Schizosaccharomyces pombe: one gene and its partners. The gene in region 1 interacts genetically with each later gene. Each region holds a gene or a part of one and is shown on either strand. Other genes may lie near its edges.

What was found.
Region 2: mutations in vps3 (region 1) and sqs1 together harm fitness more than expected from each alone (negative genetic interaction), as found in Schizosaccharomyces pombe (one large-scale study listed by BioGRID).
Region 3: mutations in vps3 (region 1) and plb5 together harm fitness more than expected from each alone (negative genetic interaction), as found in Schizosaccharomyces pombe (one large-scale study listed by BioGRID).
Region 4: mutations in vps3 (region 1) and cdr2 together harm fitness more than expected from each alone (negative genetic interaction), as found in Schizosaccharomyces pombe (one large-scale study listed by BioGRID).

Annotation. Positions count from the first base shown.
Region 1 is NC_003421.2:472,515-481,333, forward strand, and holds vps3 (GTPase regulator Vps3), read right to left. Parts: upstream 6,548-8,819; 5' UTR 6,475-6,547; coding exon 6,399-6,474; exon of another isoform or gene 6,351-6,398; coding exon 6,286-6,350; exon of another isoform or gene 6,232-6,285; coding exon 6,126-6,231; exon of another isoform or gene 6,074-6,125; coding exon 5,886-6,073; intron 5,830-5,885; coding exon 3,532-5,829; 3' UTR 3,269-3,531; downstream 1-3,268. Other genes in the region: histone H2A-H2B chaperone Nap1, read right to left, coding at 1,876-3,057; coy1 (CASP domain-containing family protein), read left to right, coding at 7,213-7,264, 7,322-7,432, 7,499-8,819. UniProt on the Schizosaccharomyces pombe protein: Required for sorting and processing of soluble vacuolar proteins.
Region 2 is NC_003423.3:1,300,101-1,307,975, forward strand, and holds sqs1 (G-patch and R3H domain-containing protein), read right to left. Parts: upstream 4,036-7,875; 5' UTR 3,929-4,035; coding exon 1,841-3,928; 3' UTR 1,497-1,840; downstream 1-1,496. Other genes in the region: transmembrane receptor Wsc1, read right to left, coding at 1-515; ldb1 (LIM domain binding protein), read right to left, coding at 4,721-5,896.
Region 3 is NC_003421.2:1,739,177-1,746,961, forward strand, and holds plb5 (phospholipase Plb5), read right to left. Parts: upstream 4,284-7,785; coding exon 2,412-4,283; 3' UTR 2,026-2,411; downstream 1-2,025. Other genes in the region: wtf antidote-like meiotic drive suppressor Wtf16, read right to left, coding at 162-268, 319-381, 422-613, 659-871, 921-1,166, 1,334-1,472; nar1 (iron hydrogenase), read right to left, coding at 7,118-7,785.
Region 4 is NC_003424.3:1,362,032-1,370,434, forward strand, and holds cdr2 (serine/threonine protein kinase Cdr2), read left to right. Parts: upstream 1-2,764; 5' UTR 2,765-2,814; coding exon 2,815-5,142; 3' UTR 5,143-5,937; downstream 5,938-8,403. Other genes in the region: cyclin Pas1, read left to right, coding at 540-1,775; cyclophilin family peptidyl-prolyl cis-trans isomerase Cyp1, read left to right, coding at 6,180-6,209, 6,250-6,291, 6,357-6,410, 6,615-6,694, 6,777-6,873, 6,914-7,078; mug10 (Rho guanine nucleotide exchange factor), read left to right, coding at 8,148-8,363. UniProt on the Schizosaccharomyces pombe protein: Acts as a mitotic inducer. In G2 it negatively regulates wee1, a mitotic inhibitor. Also has a role in cytokinesis where it required for proper septum formation.

The DNA of each region.
Region 1 (8,819 bases):
AAATTTGTAATAGCAAGCAGGTACGAGAATTGGGCTTGAGAGAAAGAAAATATAAAATAAAAAAATTGAATATAGAAGAAAAAGGTATAATCAGAAATAAATTCAAAATTTTAAGCAAGAAATCGTAAAAAATGAAATTTTCAACTAGAAATGTTTTTCTTTTTCCGTTTTTTTTTAGTGTACAACTTGCTGTTTTTAGAGGAATATTCATTATTACTTACTATTTACTAGTATTTGCTTTCTTTACTAGTATTTAATTATTAAAAAATTGTGTTTTTATTTTTGTATCCCAACTAATTTATTTATTTATTCTTTCTTTCTTTTTTATTTACTATAACTTGTGTGTTTTCCCTACTTTAAAATTATTTGTTTCCTTTAGTAGTAGCTAGCTGGATTTTATTTCTTTGTACCTTTGATAGATCATTTGTAGAATCCATTTTATTAAAACTTACGAGGAAAAATAATAAATCAAACAAATCTGATATATCACATGAGCTTAGTTAAATTTGAATTGACTTTCAGTGTTTTGAGTCCACCAAATTGCTGCAACAATATTATACAACTAAACGCATTCCATCAAATTGGACGCTGTTTTATTTAGGACCTTTGCATTATATACTAAAAACATTCTTAAGTTGCAAATGAATATAAAGAATTTTCAATATAAAAATTGCCAAAAATTTTCGACACCAGCAGGATTTGAACCTGCGCGCGGAGACCGCAACAGATTTCTAGTCTGTCCCTTTAACCACTCAGGCATAGTGTCTAAGTCGAAAATTATAAAAGCTATAATATATTTAAGGCAAGTATTAAAATTAAAATATTAGATGTTGTAAGAGATATGTCAAATATGCTTTAAATTTAGACTAAGATAAATTGTAGTATGCAATCCTCCATCCCAATTGTAATCATCTCCATTATTTGATGATTCTAACTTTAAAAAACAAAACTGGTATCTGTTAAACGCTAGACGAACTTACTATAACAACCGAACACTCTTTTACAATGCGCTCCGCATTTTTTTAGTTTCCTTCTTACTCCAAGAATTGCAAGCTTCTTTATGTCTAAAAAAACGAAAAAAAAACAAATCGTATTTTTGATAAACTTTGACACTCATTTCTTTCGAAATAGCCTTTTATGTAAACACATCGGGTTTAGTTATACCTTCCCAACTTCTTGGGTAGAGTAGACTAACTAGGATGCAACCCATTCATACTATGAATTCTCAATTGCTTACTTCTAAGTCAAAACAAAGCATTATTTTCTAGAAAAGCTCGTAAAAAGGGTTCTCTTTTTTAAGCTTTACTAAAGGTCAATTTTTACAGTCAGTGTTTTCAACTTGGTCTAAACTAACAATAAAAAACTATCACTAGTTCTTTTCGCAAGCATTTGATTGAAAAAAAAGGCAAGAAAATATTAAAACGTCCAAGTTTGTCCGAGCGTTTTCATCATGATTGATCAAATATAAGCATTCCAAAATCTTTAAAGGCTTTCGTACTCAAACTAGAAACTCGGAAAATTCGCCAAGAACGATCACACCTCCCATTATGTAGACGATGTCGTTTAGGTCTTTTAAAGCCATTCATCTCAAAACCACCAATTCCAGTAAAAAATAAAACACGTCGACTGTAAGCATTTTTATTTGATAAACGAAAAAAACTCGATAAATTGGAAGATATTTAAAAACTTTATAAACTTGCAGAATCTCGTCCGCAAGCACTCACATGTGGTCCGAACCTATCCTGTACAACAAAAGGTTTACAAATGTTGCATGAAAACCTCAAGAATCATACTTTTCAAGTATCTTTCCTTTAGTCAAAACACAGAAAACCCATTGTTATTAACCCCATAATATATGCACATTATCGAAATTGTTTATTGCTGACGGCACTCAGCAGCGTTTTGCTGGCCATGAGCAGTGTGCTTGCTATCACTGTCCTCCTCATCGGAATCGGAAACTTCTTCGTTAGAAGAGGATTCAACATCATCTTCATCCTCTTCAACATCTAAGTCGCTGAATCCGTCATAGTTTTCAAGAGCTAAAGCCTCACCAGTAAACCACTCAACGGCACGAGGAATGAGTTTCTCTTTGAAGTCCTCACCGATTTGATAGTCAAGTTCCAACAATTCATCCAATTCAGGGCTCTCCGATTCTTCGTCTTCCTCAGATGGAGGAGTTGGGGGATTAAAAAAGTTGAAGAAACTGTCACGAGGAACGGAAACCTTTACGACACGAGTTTGTTTAGTGTTTTTATTGCGTTGCTTTTTAGTAACGGTACGAACAGTCAAATCGGCATTTTCTTTCCAATCAACCTTATCGCCCTCAGCATGATCATACAAGAAAACGTTGGACGGGCCAGATTCCTCCATGTAATAATAAGTTTTGGTGAGAATCTTGTTAGTAAAGAATGGGTTTTCAGCAAATTCAAATTCTAATTTGAAACCAGGCTTTTCCATATAGGAAATGCGAATATCCACAAGGTGACTTAAAGCTCCTTCATCTTCGGGAGTAATCATTTCAGACAAAGACAAAACATTCTTCATAGCGGTCAACCAGAACTCAGGAATACCCTTAGTATCATCACCACCTTCTTGTTTCTTAGACTCAGAAGAAGTAGGTTCTTTCTTTTCGTTCTCATCGGCAGCTTCACCCTTCTTAATTTCCTCCTCGGTAGGTTCGTCAGCGCCACGAACAACCTCAGATCTTCTCTTAAAAATAGGTGCGTACTTCTTTGCATAAGCTTTTTCCAACTCAAACAGCTCTTTTTGGAATTGAGACTCCAAGTCGCTGTATCGCTTTTGCAAACCACGAAGTCCAGAAATCCTTCTTTGCACGGCTTCAGGCAATTCTGAAACTCCTTCTGAAGTGAGATGTAATAAAGAACCCAATTTTCCGTCGATAGCCTCTAAATTCTCATCTCCTTCGTCAATAGTATTTACTTGAGGAGCCTTCGCACCAAAGTTGGGAGCGCTCGTCCCCGATGGGGTGTTATGGGGAGTTGGGGCGGCAGACATTTTTCCGGCCCTTTTGTTATTAATATTAACGTTCTCTACCATATTAATTCTACTTGTTCCAGCAATCAATTATGCTTCAGACGCTTTCCGTACGTCCTTTTAATAACACTGGGAAGGGTAGTGGTAGAAGCTAAGTGTAAGAATATTTGCTGCACCCTGGGAATCTACCTACCCGCGGAACTTCCGAGCTCATCCTCGGGGTTTCCGACCTTAGTGAACAGTGCATCGTTGTGTTACGGACACTTTCTTTATTCCCGAAGGGGGTTTTTAAAAATAAAATTCGATGAATTTAGGCTCATAGTTAATATTATTTATATTTTTAAGACTAGTAAAGATCAGGAAGAGCTGAATTAACTGTAGAAGAAAGCCCTTTATATTCTAACAACATTTTGAAGCTAGAATCTTTTTGTCTCATTGAAATTATTCTATCATTAAATTAAACATCAGTCGAATAAGTATCGAAAATTGAGGTAAAAACTTTGCTGAACCAAAGGTTACTTTTTAAATGTTACTGGGTTAAATTTCGTTTTTGCCCAAGGCTACATTACGACGATTAATAGCCATGAACAACTCTTCCAAATTTTGAGACAACGACTTCTCAAGTGTTAAACGAGTTTGGGATTCATTCAAACGCTCAGCATTTCTTTTTTGCAATATACACAAAAAATCTGCTAATAAGTTAAGATTCCAATGATCTGGAATTTGCTCGCACACGTAGGAAAGCGTATAAGAAAAGGGTCGACGATACAATAGTTCTTTAATAAAATCACTACATCCATCTCCTGTTGATATACATTTTTCGAGCAAATTGCACCAACACTGAGGATAAACATCATCAATTTGAAGACAGTATGCTTCACCGCCCTTATAGTCATGAATATTCGTAACCAAAACGGATAAAGCTTTTTCATAATTCTTCTTCCTTTTGTAAAACGAGTGTTCAAGTTGAGGAAATAGATATAAATTGTCAACATGAATGTCGAACAAAATATCTTTTATTTTATCTATAGATTCTTCTTCAACATTTTCCATCAGATTAATAGAACACAAATAGTAAAATGAAAGATGAGTACTGAAATCACTCATGTCCCCCCAAAGTTGTTCCAAGTATTGGGCATACGTAGGTTTCTCCATGCAAGGAAGCTCCCTAAATGTTTCAATGGCAGTCTCAAGGCGATTTTTAAAATCGTTATGATCCAATAAACTGCCAAGCAACTTATTAACGCACAACTTTAAAAGTAGCGCTCGATGAGTGACGGAATTCGACTTTACAAGGTAATCAATCAAAACATCATCTTGAGAAGAATCCAAATGCTCTAACACGTCCTCTGCAGAAATGGATCCACTAACTGTTTTGTCAAGCAAAACGCGCGTACCCTCCGTTGCATCGTGTTTACAAAGCCATGTAGTAAATTCCCAGAATGTCGAAGGCTCAATATCATTAACCAAATATTCTCGTATTTTAATTAACCCATCGTTGAATCTCCGATCTTCATAATCCCCTGTTATTAATTTCTTCCAAGTTTGAAGAACACCATCGTGATCCCTTACAGTAGCCAATAACACGGAGAGTAAATAATACTCTTTCTTCTGTATCAACACATCTTTTATATCTTCAACACCAGTTAGACCAGACTCTAACAACTCCTTAGCATTTTTGGTACCGGCGGCTAAATCATCCATATTTAAATAAAGGAGTAATAACGAATGCTCTACAGCAAGCATCACGTCTCTTTGCGAAGATAAAAGATACTCAGATATGCTCGTGTTCTTTTTGTAATTTTTCAGATAACGCATCAACATGATGTATGCGTTTTCCTTAGTAATTTCAATCATTTGTCTCTGAGTGTATTGATCAGTATCACGAAACAATTCATTAGATTTTAAAACATTAGCAACAGTATCATCGACGGACAATATGCTTTTGCGAAAACTAATGACACCTTGAAAAGCAATATAGGAAAGCTCCGAATGATAGAGATCTGGATAGAGGGAGATAACTACGCGAGGATCAATTTTGGAAGTTTCAAGCAAAGAGAGAGAATTTTCATACTGTCCTTGCTTCCAATACTGTAATGCCGAGATTTGCTCCAAATAAGCAGATTGAAGATAAGCGACATCATTGGTTATTCCATACTTCTTCGGATTCCGCAATCGCTTACTCACTCGACGCAGAGGGGCTTCAATATCGCCTATGGTAATACTGAATTCTAGTTTGTTCATAAAATGAGCTTCAGCGCCAAACCCCCAAGATTTATTCGTAAGAAAAATAAATGAAGGCTTGCTAAAAGAAGCCCTTTCTATCGTATCAGAAGTTTTTGAGGTAGACGCAGTATTCACAGCAGAGAATTTACTAAATATTTGGCGATCACAAAAATGAACGCTTGTCAATCGAGAAATAAAAGAGAAACTTTCATCATCCTTCAGATTAATACTTTTAACAAGACTGAGAGTATTTATGTCGATGATCTGTAACGAACTAGAAGAAATGGCGAACACATAATGAGATGTAGAAAAAACATGTTTTGGATAAAATGAAAAAGTTAGAGTGCTTCTTGTGACATTCCCTTGGGAATCTACAAAAAGCCCTATGGCATCTTTGGGACTACCGGTAATCAAGAGAAATTCATTAGAATGCAAAACAATCATGGGTTTGTACATTAGCCCATTATTTTCCGAATCGTATTTGATAATGGGAAAGAGGGGAGTAGTATCAAAGGTGAGAATATCCAATAATTCAAAGGAATTTTCGGTAACTAGACAAACGATATGACCATTCACACGAGCAGTTTGAATATTGGGGTATTTAAGTTCCTTGTTTATTGTTAATTAGCGCTTTTATGAAGTAAACAATTTAGCATCTAACATACATTTTTGACTAGTATGATTCCATCTTTTTGAAATGAGATGAGCTTTAAATGAGTATTGGTCACAATTAAATATGTGCTTTTCTCGTCAATACGTTGGCCTGGATGACAGAATTCCACCAAGCCTTTAAAGGAGATGGAAGGGTAAAGCTGAGTCAAATCATCTTCCTTGTATACTTCTGCGAAACTACCTACCACCGTTAATTGGTATTCCAAAGTTATCGTAAACCACACATAGCTTACCATGATGAATAAAAACTGCGCCAAGAAAAGGCATTGCAAGAATTCGGTTTACACGAGATTTCGACACCAACGAAATCTTCTTTACAAGCTCTGGTGATTCATTTAACTAATACGCGTGTTAATGCAAACAACCCTGTGCAACACACGAATAAACACAAACCTGGAAATTTGAAAAATTATAGAGGAATACATCACCACCTTCCGTTCCAAAGTATAGATGGTTATCTAAAAAAATCAAATAGTTAGCAATATAGCCCCGGATGCTTGCCTTACTATAGAGCGCAATGGTAGTTACAGGGGAATCCAATTCTTTAGGAATTGCTGACTCATGCAGCTCAATATCAGACATTTGTAAATTTTGAATTAATGAAAAGATTCATTAAACAATTATATTCATGAAAAAGCCCTTTGTAAGTGTATCTGTTGCGTTAATATGGTTACTTTCAATATGAGTAGATCTGGGTAGCGTGTAACCCATAGTAAACGAAATGTTATGATATAGAAAGAAAGTAAATTTAGAATTTCTGCTAATTTAAATAAAAATTAGATTCTATTACAAAACTAACTATTCAAATACGTGGAATCCTTATAGGAGATTCTCTTCCAATCTTAATCCATAGTAATTCTAAGTTAACTTGCAAGCATCCTGGGAGTTATAGCAATTTGAGATAGCCTCACAGAGTGAAATAGCAGGAACTATAATAATTGCACACAGAAGTGATTGTATGTTTGTTGACTGACTTAATTTCAAGTCTCTTCGAAAATTAATTGACTGAATAATTTGATAGCTGATCTAAAAAGATTGGCCTTTTGTCAATAGGCTTTGCATTATTCCCAAAATACAAGGCTACAAAAGCAAAATCAATACAATATACAATCACTTTTCCAATCGAATTAAGCGCCTAATACATATTACTCATTTCCATAAAAACAAATTCTTATAGCGAAGTGTTTAATGGAACGTTGTGTAACTCCCAATTCACTATTTCAGCACGCTGACATCGCGCTATTTCATTGAAATGCTAAGCACAAAACAAATACTAAACATTAGTCATTTTAGTGTTTCGTTTTAATAACTTGCAACATAATGGCAGTTGCTTCAGAAGCTTTACTCCAAAAGCTAACGGAGTCATGGAAAAGTTCGTGGTGTTTTGAATTTTTAAGCAAATAGCAAAGTTACTAACGTGAGATAATAGATTCGCGGTTTGAGGAATTACAACGGGAAGCAGATGAAGCTGCAGCAGAAATTGAGAAGATGCAAAAGACATCTTTGGATGAAAGGAAAGAGCTTTCGTCAAAAACGAAGGGTATGGTGTCTATTATTGCAGCATACCTAGTATACATTAACCCTTGCTAATATTGTTAATATACAGAATTTCGCAAGCAGCCTGATGAAGTCAAGCTAGGCGAAATGAAGGGCCTTTTAAAGCTTTATCAGTCTGGAATCGATTCTTTGACCAAACGAGCAAAGTCCGCTGAAGCAACATTCTTTCGAGTGTATGAAACACTAGGCGAGGTTCCTGATCCCTACCCTTTGCTGATTGAGGCTGCGAACAACCTTAAAACTCAAAAACAGATTGAAGATTTAAAAAAGGAAAAGGAAGAAATGGAAGGCTCGCTACAGGGTAAGGAAAAGCTGGAACGTGAAGTGGAAAATTTACGAAAAGAGCTTGACAAATACAAGGACCTTGTAGAGACTGAAGCGGAAAAGCGTGCCGCAATCACAAAAGAAGAATGCGAAAAGTCTTGGCTTGAGCAACAAAAGCTATATAAAGACATGGAACAGGAAAATGCTAGTACGATTCAAAAATTAACTTCAAAAATTCGGGAATTACAAGCATCACAACTAGATCATGATTTACAGGCCAGTCAGAATGAATCAGCAGGGTTGGACGTTAATGCCAAATCTGCCGAAGTGAATGCTATTCTTTCTGAATTGGATGATGCTAACAAAATCATTGTCGAATTGCAAGCAGAAATTGCTGTGCTCAAGCAAAACACCAAAGAGCAAAAGAGCGGGTCGTCACAGGATGACCTGAGTAACCAGCAGAAACAACAATTGGATTTTATGGATTCTCTTAATAAAAAATTGTCTACTGAATTGGAATCAATAAAGGAAGCATCAAGAAAAGAAATGGAAACACATTGTGCCACCATTCAAACGCTGGAAAATGAAGTTAAAGAGGCCCGCAAAGTTAAAGAAGAAAGCTTAACATTGGCCAATAAATTTTCGGATTACGACGAGATTAAACGAGAACTATCTGTTTTAAAACAAATTGAATTTAGTGGAGAACATGCGACTCATGAAAACACTTCTCTAGAGTCTCAATTACTCAAGCGCGAAAAGCAACTATCTGAGGAGTTGGCCAAGCTACGCTCCACAAATGCCCAGTTAACTGATAGAATTACTCAAGAGTCGAAGAAGGCTTCATTTTTGGAACAAAAAGCTTCTGAACAAGAGGAGGTAATTCGAAAACTAGAGAAAGACCTTGCCGATGTTGATGTTGAGGGAAGTGTTTACTTGTCCAACACCACCTATCGCCGTGAAGGAACTAGCGGTCAACTTTCTCCAACATCGTCAATCATGGGTGGCAATCCTAGTTTATTTAACGGAAGCGTGTTGTCAAGGAATTCAGTTAACGAAACTGGTTCTGCCATTGTTGACGTTATCAAACAGCAAAGAGATCGGTTCAG
Region 2 (7,875 bases), on another chromosome or scaffold:
GACGAAGAAGAAGAGGAAGACGACGAAGACGAAGAAGAAGAAGAAGAAGAAGGAGATGTTGTTGTTGTAGTTGAAGATGAGCTTGGAGATGATGATGAAGACGAAGAGGTCGTAGACGACACTGACGAGCTAGAAACCGTGGTTTGCAAAACCCCATTGCCAGTCAGATAAACCGACCAGTACAGATCACCACCACACATAAGAGAACCATAACCTGGACAAGGCGTTGTGCAAAGAGAACTTGAAACTTCTGTAGCAGTAAGTGTACTACCGCAATAACATTGATTATTACGGATAGCTACAAATGCTATATTATCAGATCCACCACAAATGTTGTTATAGCAATACGCTGGATCAAGATAGGTAAACGTGCCTTGTTCAGTTAAGCTACTATCCACGAGATAACAGCCATATTGAGTGTTCATGTCAGCCGCCACCAACCGAGTAGAAATTATCAAAAGGTAAACAAAAAATAGTAACCTCCCCTTAAAGGGAGAGGAATTTAAAAAGACCATGGAAATTAAATCGTGCGTAAGTATAATAGGAATGAAAATTAAAACTTAAATTTGGTAATAAAAATTTTGCCCTCAGTAAATTAAGTTGTTTTGTCTATAGACTAAAGAGAAAACAAATTATTGGACCAGTTAAGAGAAATATTATCAAAAGGCGCAAACCGAATGAAAGAAAAGAAAGATTGGGTAAATAAAATAAAGAGCGTAAAAATTCAAATGCCAATGAAGAAAATAATTGTTGCAAAATCACTTCTTTATCAACATGAAAAAGAAAACAATAAAGGATAAAGGCTCAGCAACGCAAAATCAAGAATTATTAAGACCGAGCAGTTGGTGAAAAGTACTCAATATCCAACTTCGTTTGTTCCGAAATTAAAAACAGAATTTAAAAAAAGAACGAATAAAAAGTAAAGAGTAAAGATTAATTCAGAATTAAAAAAGAACGCGAATTCCTGAAGTTCAACAAAATACTCGGGGACGAAAGTACAAACCCGTACCGAACTTGGCTATCCACAGAGCTTCCGTTTGAATCGTTTCTTCGAGCTTCCCAGGCTTGAAAACTCCTTTACTTTAAACAATACACTAGTTCCTTAATAAGGATACAGTGTTTGACAGATTGTCGTCAAAAAACACTTAAGAATTCGATTAGTTGTTAAGTGGAAAAGTTAGCTCCGACGGGCCCCATAAAGGCTGAAGTCAGTCGAACCTAGGCGAACACTATTGACCCTTACCGAAACGGTATTTTTGCCTTATACTATTTAACGAATGAAAAAGGCTCCGATTGATACTTGGTTGAAACTGCGAATAGTGCGATGTTGGGTATCACTATTGACCGATATTGCCTGTTAAAATGACCTAAACGTTACTTTACATAACTCCTTATACTGTATTACACGTGTTATATATTAAACGCTAACTGATTTTACGATTATCTTCTTTAAATAGCAATAATAACTCTGTACACTGCGATATCACCGTTTTGTAGAACTTCTTTAGCTGCAGTATGCCCATAGCAGCAACTTACATATTCAATTGCTCCTGTAGTGAGAATAATTATTCTGTCTATTTAAATGAAGTTTATATCTTAAAATAAAAGATAGTTATCTTTCTGGATTTCCGGTTTATCTCTTGAATGGAAAGACACCATGTCGAAGTACCCACGGTTAATTTTTTACTTCACATCAATATGTACAAATCGCTAATTTGAATATGATGCTTAACCTAGAATAGTATATATTTATATATATATATATATAAATTGGAGTATTATCTCAAGTAAATAAGACACAGCTGATTAGTTTCTCGGTTTGACCAGTCACCCTGGTTTTCTAACCTAAACCACTTCTGCTAACTTTAACAATAGCACGTAAACTATCTTTGGAACCTTCATTTTCGGGATGACCAAGTCCTTTACCTGCATACCATCCTAACTTTTCGAGCAACCGACGACCTGGATTTTCTTTGCTAATTTCAGGGGCATCTTCTCCAACAATTTGGCCATCATATACACGTGTGGCTTTACTCGACCTCACAGAGGAAACAGTCATTCGAGATTTCCTACCAGATTTGGAAAATGACTGATACTCAACCCTGGTCTGTAAACGCTCCATAATCCTGGTAAGTGAAACCAAATCCACACTAGATGCATCAAATTTATGAGTTTTGGAAAGCATAGTATACCGCTTGTTTCCAGATCCATAACTTCTCGACTTCAAGTTCAAATCGTTGGCAAGCGCATGAACCAATCGACGAACATATTTTCTGCATGGAGGAAGGGAAATTTCTTCAATGGCCGAGTGCTTAAACTGTTGCATCCGTTGATAAACATCATTTATAAATATCTTATCAATTCGTGTAAGACTAGCATTGTCAGAATCGGAAGAAGACGGCTTCTGGCTTTCGCGCAAAAGTTTCTTTTTGCTTTTCTTTCCAAGTAGCCCCTCAGAGCGGAGTTTCTCCCTTTCCGCTCGTCTTCTTGCCTTTTTGCTTTTATCTTTAAGCCATTGTTCTTGCAATTCAGCGTACAAGTTCATGCTCTCATCGTCCAAAGAATTGGAAAAGGCATCTCCCATTCTAGCGGCCACAGCCTTTCCTGCCTTTCTCTCTAATTTCTTTTGAGCTTTACGCATTTTTTTAGGAAGTTTGCGATCTTTTTTCAAACCTTTTTCTTCTTTTACCTTCGCCCCTTTTTTGCTTTGAGAAACTTTTTCCGTTTTTTGAGTTGAGGGGTTATTGTACTCTTCATCCTCACTGTCATAATCATAAATAGTAAAATCATTTTGCAAAGTATCTCCAATACTAAGGTATGCCTCAATCTCGGAATCATCACTAGCATCAAAAATTGCCAAAAGCTCTTCTTCATCTTCATCTTCATCTTCTTCCAAAATATCATCTTCATCTTCGGCTAATGAATCTGTATTTCCCACAAGTTCCGTCGTTAACTTAGCATAATCATAGTCATCTGATCCCTCATCAAATTCTAAAGATTCCGAATCTTCAAGTGAAAAATTTACTTTACCCTCTGTCTCATCGTAATTTGATATTTCAGGTTTTTCTTTCTCCTCTTCCTCCTCTTCTTTCTCTCCTTCTAGCTCTTCATCTTCGTCCTCATCATCATCATCTTCTTCTAAAACGGAGAGGTCGGCAAACTTGTTCATAGTAAACGTAGTCATTTTATCGGTGGTGTCATCAATATCAAACTCGTCTTCATTTTCGGTACTCAACTGCTCCTGTGCCTGAGCCAAAGGCGGTGGAGGTGCAGCGTTATTGTTAGCAATATCATCATTGACCAAGTTTGGAACATTTAGTATGTCTAAAGAGTCATCATTATCTTTAGAATATAACTCCTTCTCAGATTCTTGTTCTTTGTAACACAACTGCTCACTTTCTTCTGTAGATGAAATTTCCTTATCACTTGGTGCAAGATTTAAAGAATGCTGAATCAAAACATTTTCGTTCATGCTTTTCTCAGGAAAACTTGAAACTTCTACATTCTTGGTGGTATCAAACGCTTCCGCATATTCCGGAATTTTCTTTACTTTCAATGTATCACCTTTCGAAGTAATTGCTTTAAATAACACAATGTCCAACGCCTTTATTTCACCGGTTTTTGATAAATCTTCGCAGGACTTAACGTTGGTTTCCTTGGGAAGCATAATCTCTTTGCTTTGGTGCTTAGCTTCATTGTGGGCATTTTGTTCATCGATTAATTGACACAATTCTTCCGCCGGGTTGTAATTGTCCTTAGCACGTATAAAGGTAATTCGGGGCCATTGTGAAATTCGACTACTAGGGTTTAAACCAAAAGGGCTTTTAGAATTATTGGATCCCTTAAATCTTCGGATTCGTGTATCACCACGAAACCTGGCAGAAGTTTGTAACTGATCTAAAATCTGTAGATCATCAAAATTTGACATTGAGGGATACAAGTCAAAAAATATGATAAAAAAAATAATATATAATTGTTTTAATAAATAATGATGGTGAAATCCTAAATTGTGAGGTGCGTAAACCAAATGGTGGTAGTAGGATGGAGTCTTGGGGGAAAGTGCTTCATATAGTACACTAAACGATTTTGCCACGGTATTAAATACAAATTTCTAAATATTCAATTTACAATTTAACTATTAATTTCAAGTATACACGTCTATTTAAACTGAAGTTGAGGAGATTCATACATTGACCGACTCAAAGTTGAATATGAATTAACCGACAGTAGCTCATCATGTAATTATAAGTTATAAATTTTTGTATAAAACATATAAAACAGCCAAATAACTATAATGTAAATAGTGCAAGAAATAGAATGTTAGAATATAGAACGCTATACTAATGCAGTTTCTTTTACGTCCCTCGAGAGCAACGACAGGGGAAACGATTTGTTCTTGAAACAGGGAGCAATGTAAAAATACATAGAATTACTTTATAATGAAAAAAATTCCTTTTTATTTTAAAAGTATAAAAGAGAAGCGTCGAATAGGGAACGAGATGACAAATTCTGCATATGATGAGAACGGTAAGGAATTTGAAGTTGAACACATACACAAAAGTGTATTCAGAAAAAGGAATAAATAATGTAATACGCTCAAAAAAAAGAAAGTAATAGAAATTTTTCTTAAGAATTTCAAACTTAGACAACGAAAAATAACAGTGAGTGCAGATATATGTATAAGTAGCGAGCGAACCGAATATTAAATACAAAAAAACAGCTATACCTTGGTACGTTTTTGAGCGTTCAGCATATCAGAAGAATAGAAGTTAGGATTATTGTTGGGATTTTCACCTTCAACCATTGGGGAATGGGTACCTTGGCGTTTAATCCCCTGAAGACTATAGGGCGGAACAGAGGCAATCGGCATGGATTGAGGAAGAATTGATGGATCCATATTGGGGATATTATTTTGGTCCAAAAGACGATTAGCTTGACTAATTGCATTAGCAGGCATAGTGGGAGGTTGCTTGGCATAACGATAATTAGAGGCAAGACTAGCAACATCACCATTCCTAGGCGAGCCATTAAACCCCGAGGGGGCTGGATTTGCATATGGAATATTAGAGGAAGTAGACTTTTGCATTTGATGCTGTTGTTGTAAAGCTGTAGCAAATTTATGTAAAGCGCTAGTCGGACCCGATCGCTGAGCAAGAGTGAAGGCTATGAGATCGCGCATTCCCGAAATTGTTTCAGTAATTTCCATGAACCGCATGATGTGCGGTTCCAATCCATATTCGTTGACGGGTGAATCCGGCAAAAGAGAAGAAGATGAGTTAATATTTACACTTTCGGATGACGGATCCTCACTTTTTACCCCATCGTGTTGTATTTGATTTTGAGGAGGCCGCGACTGCGAAAGGGCTAGGGAAGCGTTTGTCATTAACTCGCGCAAAAGATACTCGGAATGTCCGACAGCTGAAAACTCTAAAGAGTCTAATTTTAACAAAGGAGCACGAAAGAAATGAGCCCGCAAGTGCCCCGATACAATTACCTGTACACCGCCTTGATACTGATATAAAATGCTTGCCCTTGACGATTCCACAAAATACCCATTGTTTGGAATGGCAAATTCCTTTGTATTTCCCAAAAGGAACGACATCTTTTTAAGTTTGCCGCAATAACTCAGATATAAGAAGCGCGGAAGTGCTGCATACGATAATTCAAACAATTTCGGCTCCTGGTTTGGCGAATCTTTGTAGTCGATGTTATAGCGAAATGTTCCCTTTTCAGTATAAAAATCATGCACAAATCGTCTCCAATACCCAATATCATCTTTCATGGTACTTTCCCATCCTGACATTAACTGTTCATTATATTGTAATAATCGCAAAACACCGTATCCTAGTATATTCGAGCCATTATGATACATCATGGACGCATAGTTTGCAACCATAGCTGCGAAATTTACAAGAAAGCCACCAGCGCTGCAGAATTGGATTTGTTCAAAGTGCAAAGCGCTTGTGAAACATTAACGGCCGGAGCCCGCCATGCATGGTTAACCCTTTAAGTGAATTAGAGATTGGCACGCTACGTTAAAGACATTTAGAAAATGTGATGCGCTGTGTTATTACAAACGGCTTGTATTTGGGTGAAGATAGCATCTTTCAAACGCCTGAATTTGTGATATAAATTAACATTTTACAAATTAAAATATAGAATAAAAAATTCCTTCGTAATTTACCTTGTTCCCATTTTTTACACTGATTTCGAGTATCAATATTAATGAGATCAACGCCAGTTTTCCGTATGCCCTTTATCAATGTTCTCTTATTTTGTTTTAAACACCACCTTTCAATTCGATATATTAAAAAGAATGAAAAATGTATGTGAGAGTATGTCAAGATAACTTGCAAAGTAAGAGTCAGCAGATTAATAAATAGAAAATAATATTTAAAAAGATTTAGGAATGTCTTGGTTTGATTATTTTAATATGTTGTAAGGTTCCTTTCCGAATGTATACAAGCAATCGTAGTTTACAGATCACAAAATCGGTAATTTATTTTCAGTGTCTCTATACATTATTACTTATTTGATGATTAGTTCTTGAATTTGAAGATCATCAAAATCATTGCCCTTACTAAATATTGTTGAAATAAAAATTTTGCATCGGTATTAAGTTTTGTGTTTGTATACCTCGAAATCAACCAAAAAAAATTTTTTAAATGGTGTCGCATAGTGTAATGTTTATAAATTAAGTAAAAAAGGCTTGATTTCAGGAAAGATTTGATATAGTTGATGTATCTCGAATTACTTTATTTTGAAAAAAAGCAATGAATGCGATATTGCAAGAGAAATCATTCATCAAAATTTTTTCGTTATACAGAACAACAGCACAGTTAGTATTTCTTGATAATACTGATTACAATTAATATGGTTTTTTTTAGAACTAAAATTGATTACTAATTCATTCTTTGGTCTAATTTCTATATCGTTTTTCGAAAATTACTACTCCATTAATGTTTCTCTAGCTGTTTTATTTACTTACTTTAAATATTTCTCACTATAGCACGTGAGTGTAACGAGGTAACAAAATTGACTATATGAAACGAGAGTTAGTTTCAAAGAAAAGGAAAAGCAGGTAATTCTTTTACGGTCATTTATCATTGATTTTTTAGGTATAAAAAAATTTTGTGTCGAAGAGTTGTGAAATTTTTAATAGATTACTCAACACATGATTTTCTAGATGAGAACTGTAAAGTGTGTTCTTGGTTGTGAAAAGAAAACATATAACGATGAATAAAGAAAAATAAAAATCTCGCTGTCCTATTTAATGTACTTCCATTTTTCGCGTTTTAATATGTTATAAACACATATCGAATTTAAAAGTGTTGTAGAGTTGTTTTGTTATAGTTTGTTACATTACTCCAACTTGCTACTTTCTAAAACGTTCTGTCCATATACCGTACTGCAAACCTCACCACCGTAATGCGCAAAAGTGCATATTTGGACACAAGCGATGTCAACGGTTGCTACACACTTCTTCCCCAACCACTCACATCCTTCCAGAAATTTGAGGATGAAGCAGGGTTAGGGTTTTAAAAGGTATATATACCGATCAGACGCCTTCATAAGCCAACGTTCTACTTCCATGAGTCTGAAGGAGCCACATCAAATTAATATGCTAGGACGCCAAAGTAGTGGAGACAAGAGGTTTATTGATTGATTATCTGATGTTGAAAGGCTTAGGTTCTTATCGTAAATGGCTTGTATTTTGTGTGTTACATTTATTGATATTAGGATGGTTCTCCTTCAGGCTCTTGGAAAGCGTTCGCCTGTATCTGTGTTGTATTTTTTGGAGAGATTCTAGTCTGATTCTAGTCGTTTGATTGTACAGTATGTCTGTCGTGTATGGTTGCTTTATTGTTTTTCTGG
Region 3 (7,785 bases), 1.3 Mb from region 1:
AATTGAAAGAATAAGTTAAGCATACATTCCATAAACTTATAAAGAAAGAGGATAATTAAAGAATGTTAGTGCTTATTTTTTAAAAAGCCGCAGCTTCTCTGCGTTGGTGATTGTCGTAAAGAGGTTTTCCAACTGGAGCGACAACTACAATAATAAAGCAATTAGACTTCGCTTTCGGCCTCCGTTTCTTCCAAGGGAATGTTATTATTATTATCGTTGGCACCTCTAAACGCATTTCCTATCCGCCCAATTGCATTTCCTATACCTTCTAATCGGGTAAGTAAAGAATCATTCATACAGTTGGTTGAATACACATACCTAGGAAAGAAGCTATACCATTCCTGATAAATTTGGGCATCCTTTTGAGAGCACCTGGACATTCTGATACGATTAGAATAAATTACAGGAATATTAAACAAACCCATTTCGTAAAAGAAAAAAAAATTGCCTATAACAAAGAGTGAAGTGGCTTCAATTTCGTAGCCTGTCGCGTCGATATGTTTATCAAATAAATACATCAAACCTTTCGTTACAATAACGACACAACTTTGTACACCCAGCACTTGAAACAAACCAGAAAACATATGCTTGAGTGTCCAGAATGGAAGACGAACTGCGTGTTAGCGGTCAGCATTGGTAACTCCATAACTTCACATACCATATAATAAAAATAAAAGTAAAGCAGCTGAAATACTGCATGTAGAACAGATGAGAGCCTTGTCTAAGTTCAGGTTACCGAATTTGATGCAACCAAAGAGTACAAAACAAATGACTACCCATAATAACCAGATTATTACTACCCATTTTTTCCTTGAGTTGTACAAGCCGACCGCAGTTACTTTAACTGCCTTGGTCCAAGTTTCATAGAAGTCTAATGAGTTAGTGACTGAAGGTAAGAATAACCCCATTGTCTCACTTACAAGTCAAGAATATTAAAGCCAAAGTGCAAACAAGACACCAAAATCCAAATAATGTCCATTCCGCTGCACCATAATTTTTAAAGAAAGCGTCCTTATACTTTAGATAACAAATTGCGAGTACATTCAGTACATAGATTGGTGTGAATGATATTAGCAGTTTTATCAAGAAAGGGGAAGAATTATCTGTCGACCTGGAAGGATTGTTTTCTCTATGTGTGTTAGGAGAATTGCTTACACGTGCGTGATCTGTTTAAATTAATATGATTGAAAGACTTTAGTAAAGAAAGAACATGTATTAAAATGTGTGCATTGCATGGCCAACTGTAAACAATGACCAAAGCATGCAATTTGACTACGATGGCAAGCTTCAATTTCAATTGAGTAATTCCTTTCTTATTATTTACAATTCTTACCCGAGTATGGAGGCAGTGCGCCCTCTTCCTCTGAATCATATTCTGGAAGTAGCCCTTTTTCCAAATCGATTTCATGTCCTGTCTTCGATTCATCTCCTTCATCTATAGGACTTTTCAAGGAAGTGTAATTATTCTTCATTTTTTCAAGATCATTCTTTATTTAATAAAATACATGCGCGAATTAATTGCTATAATTGCGACAAACGAAACAGCGAAATCAAGAATTTTCACTCTGGAGCCCAATTTCAGCCGTTCAACATAAAAAACGAGCAATTTCTTTCAAAGAAGACTTCTCTCTTTAATAATAGTAGGTAAAAGTTAAAATTCGAAAACTCATTTTCAAAATGCAATTGCTTCTGACACATTTATTTTGTCACTGCCCTTTTTATTTACCCTAACTTAGCTTTCCTTAAAACGTTTTTGAGAAGCAAACGTTGTAGTATAATTATAATGTCAGCTACGCAGTTTGGTATCTGGTTTAACGATATATAGCACTGCGGCGAGATTTCTAGGGATTTACAACATAGCGGTATGCGCTTTGTTAACTAATAATATTATATTTATTGTTATAAAAAGTCTAGTAGTATCGGTCACCGATATAGCCAATAACTGAACTGAGGAATGAGGTTCAGTGGTAGCTCTATTTATATTTTTCTCTAGTTGCTACCAATGTGTAACTTGTGTAGATAGATGGACAAACAGCTACAATCATCAATAAACTAATGTTATGTATATTTTAGCATGACATATAGTGCTACGCAACGTAGTATATCGTAGCGTGCTGGACTACTGCTGACACAGTATTTGAGTTGAAACATTTCTGCAAAGGTTACATAAATTAGTGTCATTTAGAGCTTAGGAATTCAAATTCGATGGTGTTAATGGCTTCTTGAAGCTTTTTTCATTCCTATATTTATTCACTATATCTTCCTTCTCGTTGTTTATGAGCAATAAGTAAAGAGCCGACTTTTGCTGGTTCTTAGATTAGTGAATATATGAACATTAGTGTTTCAATGCTTTACGCTCTATGCTACCATGGAAAAGATCGAACAAAATGGATTGTCGTGAGCGTTGCATACTAAATCTTGGCTGACAGAACTGTAGGTGCATATGTAGTAACGGTCGTGCTTGCAATTGTTCCATTCCAACAGTATTGATTAAAGCAAGAAGCACATTGACTTGGAGTCGACATGTTTTTGCGTTCCAAGGAACGTTGAACGAGAGCGCATGCAACGCAGACAGCAAATGAATCACTGTTATTTTGGGTAGCAGCAACAGCGGCATTTTCAATCATTCCACTGGACAAAGTATCTTCCAGTTGAACAGTGTAGGTAGTGACATTTGCATACATAGTCCAAGGATAGTTGGGGAAGTAAACTACAAGAGGAGGAGTATCGTCATTAACGGTATGGTTTCCGGCTGTGGTGTTTCTACCGTCGCAACCGAAGAAAGTTGGATGAGTGTTCAAACCAAGAGCCAAAAATGTGTTGGTATCAGGAATATATGGGAAACCACGAACGCCAGAGGAGTTAGTGGCTAAAACTCTTTCATATGTAGAAACTAGGGACGATCCATCTGGCCATCCACTCGTTGCGCTTTGATAACCCCCGTCAATCGCAAAAATAACATCTACGTCTCTTTGTGGATGAAGCAAGGGCCAAAAGGGAATACCTTCACTATCTGAGCCACCGTCTATTAATTCAATAATGGGATACGGCTCCAAGGGATTGGTAGTGGTTGTATTGGAAGCATTTCCATAACCTTGGTAAGGGTTGGGATAAAGACCTACATCCAATTGATCTTCGGCAAGCATTTCGAGGAAACTAAGGACAGCATTGTTAAAGGTATTATTACTAGCGGTGAGTGATGCATTTGTCGCAGGAAGGATACCGCTAAAAACATTTGAAGAGGTACCCATGAGGAAACCAGCGTTGTCGAAATTACGCACACAGGATTCATTAAGAGGAATGCCATTAATAAGGTGTGTACCTGTATACTCCATGGGTATAAATGATTCCACCCCAGTGTCCCAAGTACCAAATTCGATGGGTGTAAATTCAAAGACAGTGTCGTTCAAAGGGATTACGGTTTCACCCTCTATGACATTATCAGCAATGATGATGGGAAAGGGAAATTCACCATCCTGGAACCACGTTTCATTTGTTACACTAGAGAATGTAGTATTAGCACCTCCAGTCAAAGGATTGACAAGCTTAAGAGCCAAAGCACGGCCCCAAAGGTCAGTAATGGAGACATTGAATCCAGCATTCTTCTTTTGCAGAACTTGCTCAAACCACTCTTGGTAAATATAAAAGTTCTCAAAAGCGTCGTCATAGGGAGCGAAGAGACTGTGGTCCAGGTTCCAAACGTCGTCGTGCAAGAAAGTAATATTGGCAAAGTTGTTAACCGCAACAGATCCCACAAGCCAAGAGCCACCAGAAAGACCAGTAAGGTACATGGAAGATTGAAGAATACCACCAAGAGACGTAGTGTTACCATTTCTAGCATCAAATGCATTAATAGCGCCGGCTCCCGTTAACATGGCAGGAAATCCACCGCCAGAGATTGCAATTCCCAAACGAGGGCCATCTGTGTCATTCAGCACACTTTTTGTATCGATTTTTAAGCCGGTTTTTGAAATAAAGCTTTCCAATGCACTGTTAACCTTTGAGACACGTTTGTCAACAAATTCTTGTTCACCAGTACTAAGGCCATCGGAGGCAGGTCGAAGCAGAGAGCCACTAGGGCAAGCAACAGTATAAGGCGCATACGATGGGCTTGTGCTACGCTTGGAAAGGGGTATAGAGTTTGCTGGCTTATCAACGTTATCGGGTTTCAATAATCCGATTAGTTCTGGGTCTGAAACGTCTACTTCATCGATACGAGAAGGAAGGCCCAAGGCCGGCAAAAGCTGGAGAGCGAGAAATAATCCAAAGGAAGATAATTTCATGTTTAAAAAAAAATAAAATAAAAATTAAAAAAGCAAGGTTGGTTTAATAAAGGATAAAAGGATAGAATACGGTCAATGATTCGTTTTTAAAAAAAGTTCGAATTTTTCAATTTTCTCTGAATCCAAAAAAAGCAAGAGAGTGATTAACAAACAGCGAGTTTCTAAAGTCTGAATTTTTTGAAATTTTCTGAGAATGAAAAAAATCAAGACAATGAAAGTAATCAATTAAAGAGCTTTCAATTGTCAATTCCCAATCTAGTAAGTTCAACGAAAAATATTTAGATATCTAGAGAGTCCGTCGAGCTACAATGTCAATAAAAGCAAATTAAGCATTTGATGGAGCGGTTCGGCAAGCGATGAGCTTAAACTATATTTCCATCAGGACACCTAGTTTTGTCGAAAAGGTTGGGATGAGACAGGATTTCGACATATTTCCAAGAAAATAATATCATGTTCTTTTTTATGATTTAACCTATCTTTTTCCATTGAAATAAAAAAATCCCAATTCAAATTTTCAAGTTGGGATTTTGCTTACCCACCGTCCGTTTTAGGAATAGACAGACGTTTTTGCTCATTTCCTTGCCAAACACAAACCGGCCTTGCCAACTTTCTAGGCATTTGTAAATTGCTTGCTTACCTACACAGATCACACTAAAGAAGGATGAATCACTGATTGTTTGTTTTAACGGGATTTACCGATTCAATCACTAAAGTTGCAACCTTTATTCATTTATTCCCAAGTGCTATATATATAATATATATAGGCTTTTGAGGATGAACTCACTTGTAGACTCACTTTTCGCATGACCCACGTTTCTCATGATCTGCTTACCTTGATCCGCAATTCGGCGTGGACTAGAAGGAACTCCGAAGATGCCATCTATGATGTTAACGATTTTCTATATGTAGCACCGTGAGATTATGAAATGGTGGTCATATTACTAAGTCTTTAGATGCCAGTTGGAGTTGGATTGCCTAGTTATCATTAGCATTCATGGGTACCATTTATGCCCTATTCAATAAATATTTCAGCGATTCTATAATGGAATATTTAGATCAACCTAGGCTCAGCTTTAAATGACGGGATGAATATCAACGGCTAAATTTATAAACGGATACCAACCCGATTGCTGCGAACTCACGGATGTAAAATTGTCTGGTAATGCAAATCATCGACAAGTCCATGATGAAACGACTTTCTATTTTTTTTTTACTTCTATTAACGTCATTTAATGTCCAACTCTTCTAGGAAATCCCCAAATTCGAATATTCAATAAGGTAATGGGGTGCGATGTTTTTAGTTGATTCACATTGGAAATATTTCAATTCGAGATATGAAAAACCATTGATAGAAACAGATAGAGTAGAAGTTATTGCTTGATGCAACAAAATTTGAAGATTTGTTAATTTACAGATTTGCTATTCTACAAAGTCTCATCCCTACAAGCAGAAATGGATCTGAATAGCGATCGCTTTAGTTAGGTCATAAGATCGGCAGTCTAAACGTTGACCGCACATGGCTACATTGTAGCCTTTATATTCTTTCTTTCTATTCCAGTTATAAGCTGATACAGTAGATCTTGAATTTCATCAGTTTGTCAAAATATCTCTCTCGTTTTATCATACTTTACAAACCCAAAACACAAACATAAGAAACTGCACTGAACTAAATGCAAAGCTATAAGGTATTGTAACAAGCTCACAATGTGATATATAACCATTTCGACAGAGTTATTAAGAGATACATTATTTTACACTTTGTTTAAGAGTTCCCGTGTATCCAGACTGTATACCTCCTTTGCTTAGTTCCCGTGTCTAAGGAGCTATAACAAAGAGTTTTGTAAACCTAGATTATGCACTGGCTTGTACGTCTTAAATAAATTTAAAGAACTACTGAAGTGTCATCGGTATGTGATGAATCCTTAGCGTAGCAAAGGCAGTTGAGGTATTAAGGTCAACGAATACTGTATTATAGTAAGTTTCGCAATACAAGTTAAGCAACAACTCGTCCAAAATCACAAATACCAACTTAAGGAGTGATAAACTAGATATGCGTAATTGTGGAAATTTGTCGCACAGCTGAATACTCCCTAAGTGTAATATATAGTTAGCCAAATTAAATTAAACTAAATGGAAAACTCTGATAACTACTTGTGTTTGGTGTATAAAACTTCGAAGTTGCTTATCTCTTTACAATGCCTCTATAGATTTTTTGTTTATGGTCTTATAGCTGAGGCTACCTTTAAAGATGTGCGACCAAGAGCAACTTTGGTAAAAAATTTACTGAAGGATGAAGTTGTATGAGATTTCGTATTTAAAACAATTTATCTTCTTCATTGATTAAAATTATATGAAGCGCTTTTTTTTTTCAACTAGAAATCCCTAAAAGAAAATAGAAATAATATTCAAAGTGAAACTCTCTATTTACGAAATGGATACACTTAGATTTTTAAAACACATTCAAAAGTACTATTGAGAGGAAATGATTGTTTTTACCAGTGTATTCTTTAAATGTGTAGGATGATAATGGAGTTATCATTATTGTTATGTAAATTATTTGATAATATACCGGATATCGGTAATGAATTGAAATCTTGCGAATCTAAAAAATACAATGAGAAATGAATTCACATGAAATATTCAGAAGTAAAGTACTTCTAGGATCCTATCAAGCATGTATGAAGAATCACATATTAGCCAACTAAAGATTCGCGTATAACTTCTTCACTAATCAATTAATTTCAAATTTTTATTTCCCCAAAATAGCCAAAACCTATTAAATTCCCAATAAACAATTATAAAAAACCCATAAATTTTCCTTCTTTTAATTATTTTTACCACTTATTGGCCAGCAATAAGGGATTATCATTATCTGTTTGCACTGCACGATAGGATGTGTGAAGAAACTTGGGTGTCAGCGTAGGATCTTTGACCCATTGTTCTAACATATAGGATACTGCGGATTGATCTACAGACCTGGTACCGGGTTCATAGTACAGTTTCTCAACTTGTTGCATCCAATCTCTGGCTGAGACAATTCTTTCGACAGAGGGGAATGGAAGCTGACCGCCTCCATTGATACAACCACCTGGACATGCCATGACTTCTACATAGTCATAACGTGAAGGCTCTTCTGTAGGATTTTGAGCATTGCTTCTTACTCGTTTTTTTAATAAAACCCGGCCTTTTCGAACCGAGGAATTTCCATGTACGCGGCGTACCAAATTTTGAATGTTTCGGAATCCATAGCACGTTGCCATAGATATTAACTGTTCATTCGTTTCGGGGTGTCGTAAAGTATACTCAGTCAAATCGCCATTTTTGTTATTCATTGATACATAAGGTCCAACATCGTCAATACCAAAAAGCATTTTAGCAGCGTATGATAAAACATAGCCCATGTAACCTCCTGAACTAGAACCTATCTGTTCTTCATATGTTATTCGAGGATACCAAAAAGGGATTGCATCTGTAGACTGCTGAAACGGTATGGGGTTTTTAG
Region 4 (8,403 bases), on another chromosome or scaffold:
TCCTTTCTAGCTTATTTTGGGTTTTTACACAGTTCAAGTTTTCCTTTTATCTGCCTGGTCCCCAAAATCTCGGTTTTGCTTTATTTTCTTTCTTCAAATTCGACTTTGTGCGCTTGAAGATTCGATTTCAAGCAATCATTATTATTTCTTACACTCTTTCTTTGGATGACTATTTTCGCCAACACATCTATCTCTTCATTTTTGCAACTTTTTAGGCTTACTAAGCTTCTTTTTCTTGTATAATAATATTAACTGATTTTGGGTACGTGTCTTCAACATGGCATACCTTTAGAGATTTCTGTTTTTTTCCAGTTAGGAGCACTGTTTAGTCAATCTACTCGTTCTCCTCATTGTGTTCGTCTTCCAATTTTTGTCATCCATTTTTACTTTTCTACTAAATTTTCGTCGAAAGCTTTCATTGTTAGCTTTTTTCCCTTTCATAAACTCGTATTTTCTTCTCTTTGAGAAAAAGCTTGCTAAAAGTTTTCATTTTTCTCCAACAGCTGCTTAAAATTTCATCTTAGATATTTCTCTACACGATGTCGAAAGTTAACATGCGAGCTTTGCTCGAGTCCTTTAGTACCGTGATTCTTTCTATCTACCCCTTGGCTAAAAGTACAAATCAACAATCACATTCGCACTCCCTTTCACTTACTCAGTTTTTGTATGAAACGATTCGCAGAAGTCGTGTCGATTACACTACGTTGCTTCTTGCTTTATATTACTTCATCCGTTTTCGTGATGCTGCTTCTTCTAAGCCTACTAACTACATTCCTCTGTTATGTGGGCGTCGTCTTTTCTTAGTCTGCTTGATGGCCGCTACAAAATTTTTACAGGATCGTAGTTTTAGCAATCGTGCTTGGTCTCGCCTATCAGGACTTCCAGTTGACAAATTACTTGTTTTGGAATATATGTTTTACCAATGCATCGATTATCGTCTTGTCGTTCCTAAACATATTTTTGCTAGATGGTCTCTTTTAGTTGGTGAATGTTGTGCTCACGCGACTGCACGTTATGATTCCACCGATCCTAATGTTGCCTCATTTGGCAGCGTCGCACAATATTGGGTCTCTTTGTTTTCTAATGTTCAATCTTCTCTAGATGATCTTTTTTCCATTGCCTGTTTAACGAAGATAGCACATCGCAGAATGAATGCTAATGCTGCTTTGAAGAATCAGGCTACGAGGAAGCCCTCCTCTTCTCCTCAAACAACTCAAGACTCATCACCTATTCTTACGATGGCACCTTCTACTCCAGTATCTGTTGGCAGTACCCCTCCATCCACTCCATCTGTTTTACCCATTGCCAAACAACTGGCTCCTATGAATGTCTGTAAAGCACATATTCAGGCTTCAAATCAGTCCCGCACTTTGACTACTGCTTCGCCACCCGAACAAATACCGCTTATGGAACCGCAAGTTTATGTAAATCCTCAAGTATTACCGGGTCGGTTGTCAAGCCTTTCTAAGCCAGTTAGTCTACCACCAACTCCTTCTTCACCAAAGGTTGGAGTATATCGGCCAATGACTTCTAAGTCCAATGGAGGTGTTGCTTACTGCTATAATGCTCAAAAATTGAACAATGCTACTGGTCCAGTTACATTTAATATGCCTTTTGCAAGCGTCTTACCACTTGCCGTATCTGTGAGTTGTGATCTGGGTACAGCGTCTGCATATGTCGCGTCCCTCCCTCAACCTTGTTCTCAAAAAAGGCATTTAGAAGAAGACTACTCATGTTTAACGGAACACAGTGCTAAGCGTCGCAGTTACTTTTAATTATCAAGCCCAATCTGCGCTGTCTTCGCCGCTTCTTTCAAAAACTATAATATTTAATGAATAATTTCATAATACTGATGCCATTTTAACAGCGGATGTCAATAAATACCGATAATGTTTTCTTTCTATTGATTTATCTATTCAAATTGTGTGGAAGATAATCATGATATGGGAAACTTGATTAGGTTTATATTACTACCTTCTTTTCATATCTAGACTTGTCAATGTTTTGATTAAAAATCAAATATTGTTGTCGTTTCTATGAATCTTTTTTTAACATTCTAATAGCAAAACGATGTATATATGGTATGAATGAATTAACGATTGGCAACTATATTTACTTATGCATCTTGTAAATTGATATCAGTAGAGCAAGGTATTCAAAAAAGATAATTTTGTTGATTTCTTATGGCCATAAACTTGTCAAATAGTCAAACTATTTAGAGATTATGTATGTGCTCATTAAGATAGTTATATATTTTAGGCAGGTGAATGTAGCCATTTGAAATCTACTACTGAGCTCCAATCCTATTTGAAGGCTCTAAGAGTCCTTTCAATCATTTTTTAACAGAGTTGTCTAAGTAATATTTTTTCAACGATTAAACTGTGAAACATTGAACTAAAATATCTTGATCATTTACAAAAGCAGTAATTGCTACACCGTACTACTAGTAGAGCCAATTTTGATTACGGTCTTTAAAACAATGTTGAATACACTAATTGTAAGCGATTTTTGTAAAAACTAATAATTATACGTATCTTCTTGAACATCACGAAAATTAACTGATATTTCCCTAAAGTACAGTTGCAAGTAGGAAGGATTAAGACAAAACAACAAATTATATACTAAAAATTTTACAAATGTTAAAATCAATTTCACATATATATTTTGTTGTAATTAAATGCACTCAAATACTATAGCTTACAAGTTTAGGGAGCATTACGGAGAACATCCCACATATGCTGTTCTATGAATGGGGTTTGGATTTGGCCATCACCACTTCACCGATTTACTGGTTCTTTTGAATAGTTGAAGTGTATGAGTACAATTTCAGAAGTTGGACCTTGGGAGCTTGGTCTTTCCTTAGGATCAGGAGGACCAAATTCATCACGTTTAGCCAAACATCGTGAAACTGGGCAATTAGCCGTAGTAAAACCGATTGTAGGATGGTCCGAGCTTACTTCGAGCCAACAGGCTAGGATAGAGGGTGAATTAGTTTTGCTTCGATTGATCGAGCATCCTAATGTTTTGCAGCTCATAGATGTGATTTCAGCCCAGGAGCAACTCTTTGTCGTAGTCGAATATATGCCAGGTGGTGAGCTTTTTGACTGCATGCTTCGTAAAGGAAGTTTTACTGAGCAAGATACGGCAAAGTTTCTATGGCAGATTTTGTGTGGATTGGAGTATTGTCATAAACTTCATATCTGCCACCGGGATTTAAAGCCAGAGAACTTATACTTGGATGCCCATGGTTCTATCAAAATCGGTGAATTCGGTATGGCGTCTATTCAACAGCCAGGAAAGCTTTTGCAGACTTCCTGCGGGTCTCCCCATTACGCATCCCCAGAAATTATTATGGGGCGTTCATATGATGGTTGTGCTAGCGATATTTGGTCATGTGGAATTATATTTTTTGCTTTGTTAACAGGGAAATTACCGTTTGATGATGACAACATTCGTTCTTTGTTGCTAAAAGTCTGTCAGGGTCAATTTGAAATGCCATCAAATATCTCTCCTCAAGCCCAACATCTGTTGTACCGCATGCTTGATGTTGATTCATCTACTCGAATTACCATGGAACAAATTCGTGAACACCCGTTTCTTAGTTGCTTTGTTCATCCCAATATTTCTATTCCAATCATATCAGCCCCTATACAACCCATTGATCCATTAATAGTGCAGCATCTCTCTTTAGTTTTCAGATGTTCCGATGATCCTATGCCCTTGTATGAAAAATTGGCATCTCAATCACCCTTGGTTGAAAAAACTCTATATACTCTACTGAGCAGACACTTGCATCCGCCTTCCAGCGCTGCAGTTGATCGCAACCGCGCTGTGGTCGATGATCTCCTTGGTACAGCAGCATCCAACGGGCAGCAAATGGACGAGGAAGAAATTGAACAAGCTATCAATATTCCTACTTTAGCGCCTTATCCAATTTCTTATGCTGCAGAGTCTGTTCCTCGACCTGCTACTTCTGCATCGCCATTTCTTACACCTGTTACCACTTCTGGCACTTTTAATTACTCTTTTAATGCTACCAACCCCCAATCCATACTTCAACGACCAGCCACTACATCTTCTGCTGTTCCTCAACTCCCAAAATCAGTTACCCCAGGACTTGCATATCCCCACGATAGTTCAATGCTGTCATCAAATTACCGACCTCCTTCTGCATTATCTCCTCGCAACTTTAACGTTTCTATAAACGATCCGGAAGTTCAACTAAGTCGTCGCGCTACTTCACTGGATATGTCAAATGATTTTCGTATGAATGAGAATGACCCTAGTATTGTTGGTAATTTAGCAGCTTCCAATTTCCCGACAGGTATGGGACCTCCAAGAAAGCGTGTCACTTCTAGAATGTCCGAACACACTGGTAATCGAGTCGTAAGCTTCCCGCGCGGCAGTGCTTTTAATCCAAGAGTTACTCGCTTCAACGTAGGAAATGAACAATTCTCTAATAATATTGATAATAATAACTATAATCAACCATACGCAAATGCAACCATGAACAACTCTCGTCGTCTTCGTACCCCTAGTGGGGAGAGATCAATGCGTGCTGATCTCTCTCAATCACCAGCCTCTTATGATTCGTTGAATGTTCCCAAACATAGAAGAAGACAATCGTTATTCTCTCCTTCTTCTACAAAGAAAAAGCTTTCCGGCTCACCTTTTCAACCAAAACGATCATTTTTAAGGAGATTATTTAGTAGTGAGCCTTCTTGTAAATGCGTCTATGCCAGCTTGGTTGCTTCAGAATTGGAACATGAAATTTTAGAAGTTCTTAGAAGATGGCAGCTTCTTGGTATCGGCATTGCTGATATTATATATGATTCTGTGAGTGCTTCGATATCTGCTCGTATTAAACGACAAAATTCACTTAATCTTAAACCGGTTCGGTTTAGAATATCGGTACTGGCTGAGTTTTTTGGTTCACAAGCTGTCTTTGTGTTGGAAAGCGGTTCTTCTACAACTTTTGACCATTTGGCTACAGAATTCCAGCTGATTTTTGAAGATAAGGGGTTTTTGGATAATTTGGAACTCTCTTATTTTCAAGCTTCGGCATCCAGACCTGTTTCTCGAATGAGTGTAAGTAGTAGTCCTTTTGCTGTATTTCGTCAACGACAATCCGTCCAAAGTTAAATTCTTTTATTATTATTATTATCATTTTTTTTTGATTCTCCAAAACCTTTGCAAACTTCATTTTTCTCGTGATGCTTTGGAAAAAAAAGGATTATCAAAAAAGCTAATCGTTTGATAATTGAACATAATGTATACTCGTGGAAGTATTGGAACTTTTTGAATTAAGCTTTCATTTTGTCCCATATTGGAACTCTTTTTATACACCAACAATATCTTTATAGACCTCCATTCTTTTTCTGATGTTTTTCTTTTACTTGTTCAACTTGCTATATGGAACCACGGTTATCCGGGAAGCAATAAATGCATTTAATGATTAAATTATATTTTGCTGCTCTGCTACAATGTTTCTCTTGGAACCTGTTGAGTTTTGTACATGTGATGTTGTACTTGGAACTTACTCCAATGATAATAACTTGCATGTCTGAAGCAAGGTAATTTTTGTATTTAGTATGACCGGCTATTGCTGGCATCTTTTTTGAAATACATTTTTCTTATTTAATTTAGGTATAAAATTTTTTATCTTAATCAATCTTTTCTTTTGGCTTTCTAACTCTTCGTTCTAAATCACAATCTTTTTAGTCTCGTTTATTTCAATCGATTTGACTTTTTCTTCATCTTATTTATCACAATCAACTAGCACTAGCGGATACAATTTCAATGAACTGCAGCATAGGTCGTATTATGTTTAGAAATTTATGACCCTTCTGCTTGTTCTGTATAAATTAAATTTATTCCAATTAAGTATTTGGTCGCTCAATGCTAATTAGTATGATATTAAATTTGAGTGGAATTCAATATGTAACCTGCTTACTTCGATAGTTGAAGAAATACATTTGAAGTTGTAGGATATCTAGGTTATCTGCATTGTACAAAGAGTCTGTTTTTTTGGAATGAAGTACGTGACATATTATTAAGCACTTTTAAAATTGTCTGTGCAATTGCCTTTTCAGTATTTTTAGCGAGGTTGCAACTTCAACTTATTACTTGAACAAGCAGCGAAAAACTGCAAGAAAATCGTGTAAAAACTAGTAAATACCATGGCTAATGTAGAGTTACAAACAAGTTTGGTAAGATCTTTTCCAAGCTCAAGCATTTAACATTTTTTAGGGAAAAATTCTTATTGAATTGTATACAGAACATGCTCCTAAAGTACGCATCAAGAATAAAGGACGAACAGTGTTGTTTGCTTTGAAAGTAGAATCGCTAACTTATAGACATGTCAAAATTTCTATACTTTAGCAAAAGAAGGATACTATGATGGTGTTATTGTAAGTTTTTTTCGCACTGTTTGCATCGTGCAAATAAGCATGTTGAAATATGAGTCTACAATTTAATATTTCAAGTGTGTTATTTTATTGATTTAACTGTTCACATTTACATGATGGACTCAGTCAGTCATATAAATATGTGTCCTATAATTCATTCAATATCGTATTTGATTTAATTCGTGAAATTGGTACTAATTAAATTAGTTTCACAGAGTTATTCCAGACTTTGTAATTCAAGGAGGGGATCCCACAGGTACAGGTCGAGGTGGAACTTCTATATATGGGTAGGCAAAGCTTTATAAATCGGCATTCACCGATTGTTTGCATCTTTATTACGAAGTTTTCACATTCTTATTAATTGATTAGGGATAAATTTGACGATGAGATTCATTCCGATTTACATCACACTGGAGCTGGCATTTTATCAATGGCCAATGCTGGACCTAACACAAATTCATCACAGGTATGATGACTTTGTTTACACTAACTTTAACCATCTTCAGTTTTTTATCACTCTAGCACCTACTCCTTGGTTAGACGGAAAACATACAATTTTTGGTCGTGTTGTTAGCGGGCTTTCTGTGTGCAAGCGTATGGGTCTTATCCGAACGGATTCATCTGACCGCCCAATTGAACCTTTAAAAATCATTAAAGCTGTTGCACTTTAAATTATTCTTTAAAGGATATTCAAAGGTTTTAATCTATAAGTCTTTTTTCGATTTTTCAACACATCCTGAAGATATTGACTAAAGTTATTTGTCACGGATATTAAAAGCTAAATTAATAGTTGATAAAGAGAAGCATTTCCTTACAAAAGGTGGACTTTTTAATTGAAGTCAAATTTTACAAGTCAAGTGGAATAACATAAGCTTCTAAGAAGGAATTAACTAGTTTTCTAGCTTAAGAAATTGGAGATGGATTTTGTTACGCATATCAACCTAGTTGTTTGACCATAAACGATTGAACAAAAACCTTTTACAACGTTAGCATTGCTTCCGGTACTTTTCTCCTTATCAAAAATTTTACAATTGTATTTTTTTCTTAATTAGAAGATTAAAGCTCGGGCCAAATATACAACTACAAGAGTTTATTGGACTAGATTACTCAAATACTATTGCTTCAGTTTTTTTGTTACAACGTGGGATGTTATTTTAAAAAAAATTCAGAATCAAAATAAAGTCCAATGCATAAAAACGGCATGAATCCTTCTCTTTTTTATTTAATTCTTCTTTTAATTGTTTACGCCAATTTGTGTGATCCATAATTAGCAAATTATTTTACGTGTTTTAACGTATTACGTTATAATTGTAATTAAGCAAATAAATGATATTTGTCAATTGAAGGTTCGAATGTAGTGGTCACGGAATACTCACAAGCATGATAATAATGTTTTTTAAGGTCCTAATATATCTAATTGACCTTTCACAGCTAGACATATCAACATATGACCAAAACTTAGCTTCATTCCTCAAGCGGGAAACATTCATTAACTGAAATTGTCCATGAGAAAGACTTTTTCTATTGAAAGATAAGTTTGAAAAGGCTACAAACTTTAAATACTTTTAATAAAGTAATTTTATTAACTAACTATTCCTTTGCTTACTTATAGATTTAAGATACTAAGCCACAGTTACGCAAAATTGGATAATGAACTTTAGTGACATAGGTTTTACACTGAGTAGTTGACTTTGGAGCGTGTTATTTACATGCAATTTCCTAACACGTTTCGCCTGGAGCATGGCACTTTTAAAAACGATGCCAATCATAAGGTCTCTAACGCGTGGAAAATCGATTAGATTACTTCAAAAACAATCAACGAAAAGAACTAATCCGTGCGTCTATTTAGAAGCAAAAGCTGTTGAACAAACACCGGCTACTGAGTTTAACAGTATACTTCAGGAAATAATTTCGACAGAATACAATTACTCTGTTGATTTAAAGAAAACATTAAATGTAACGATTACTATAGCAAATATTATGCTCGTGTTTACTA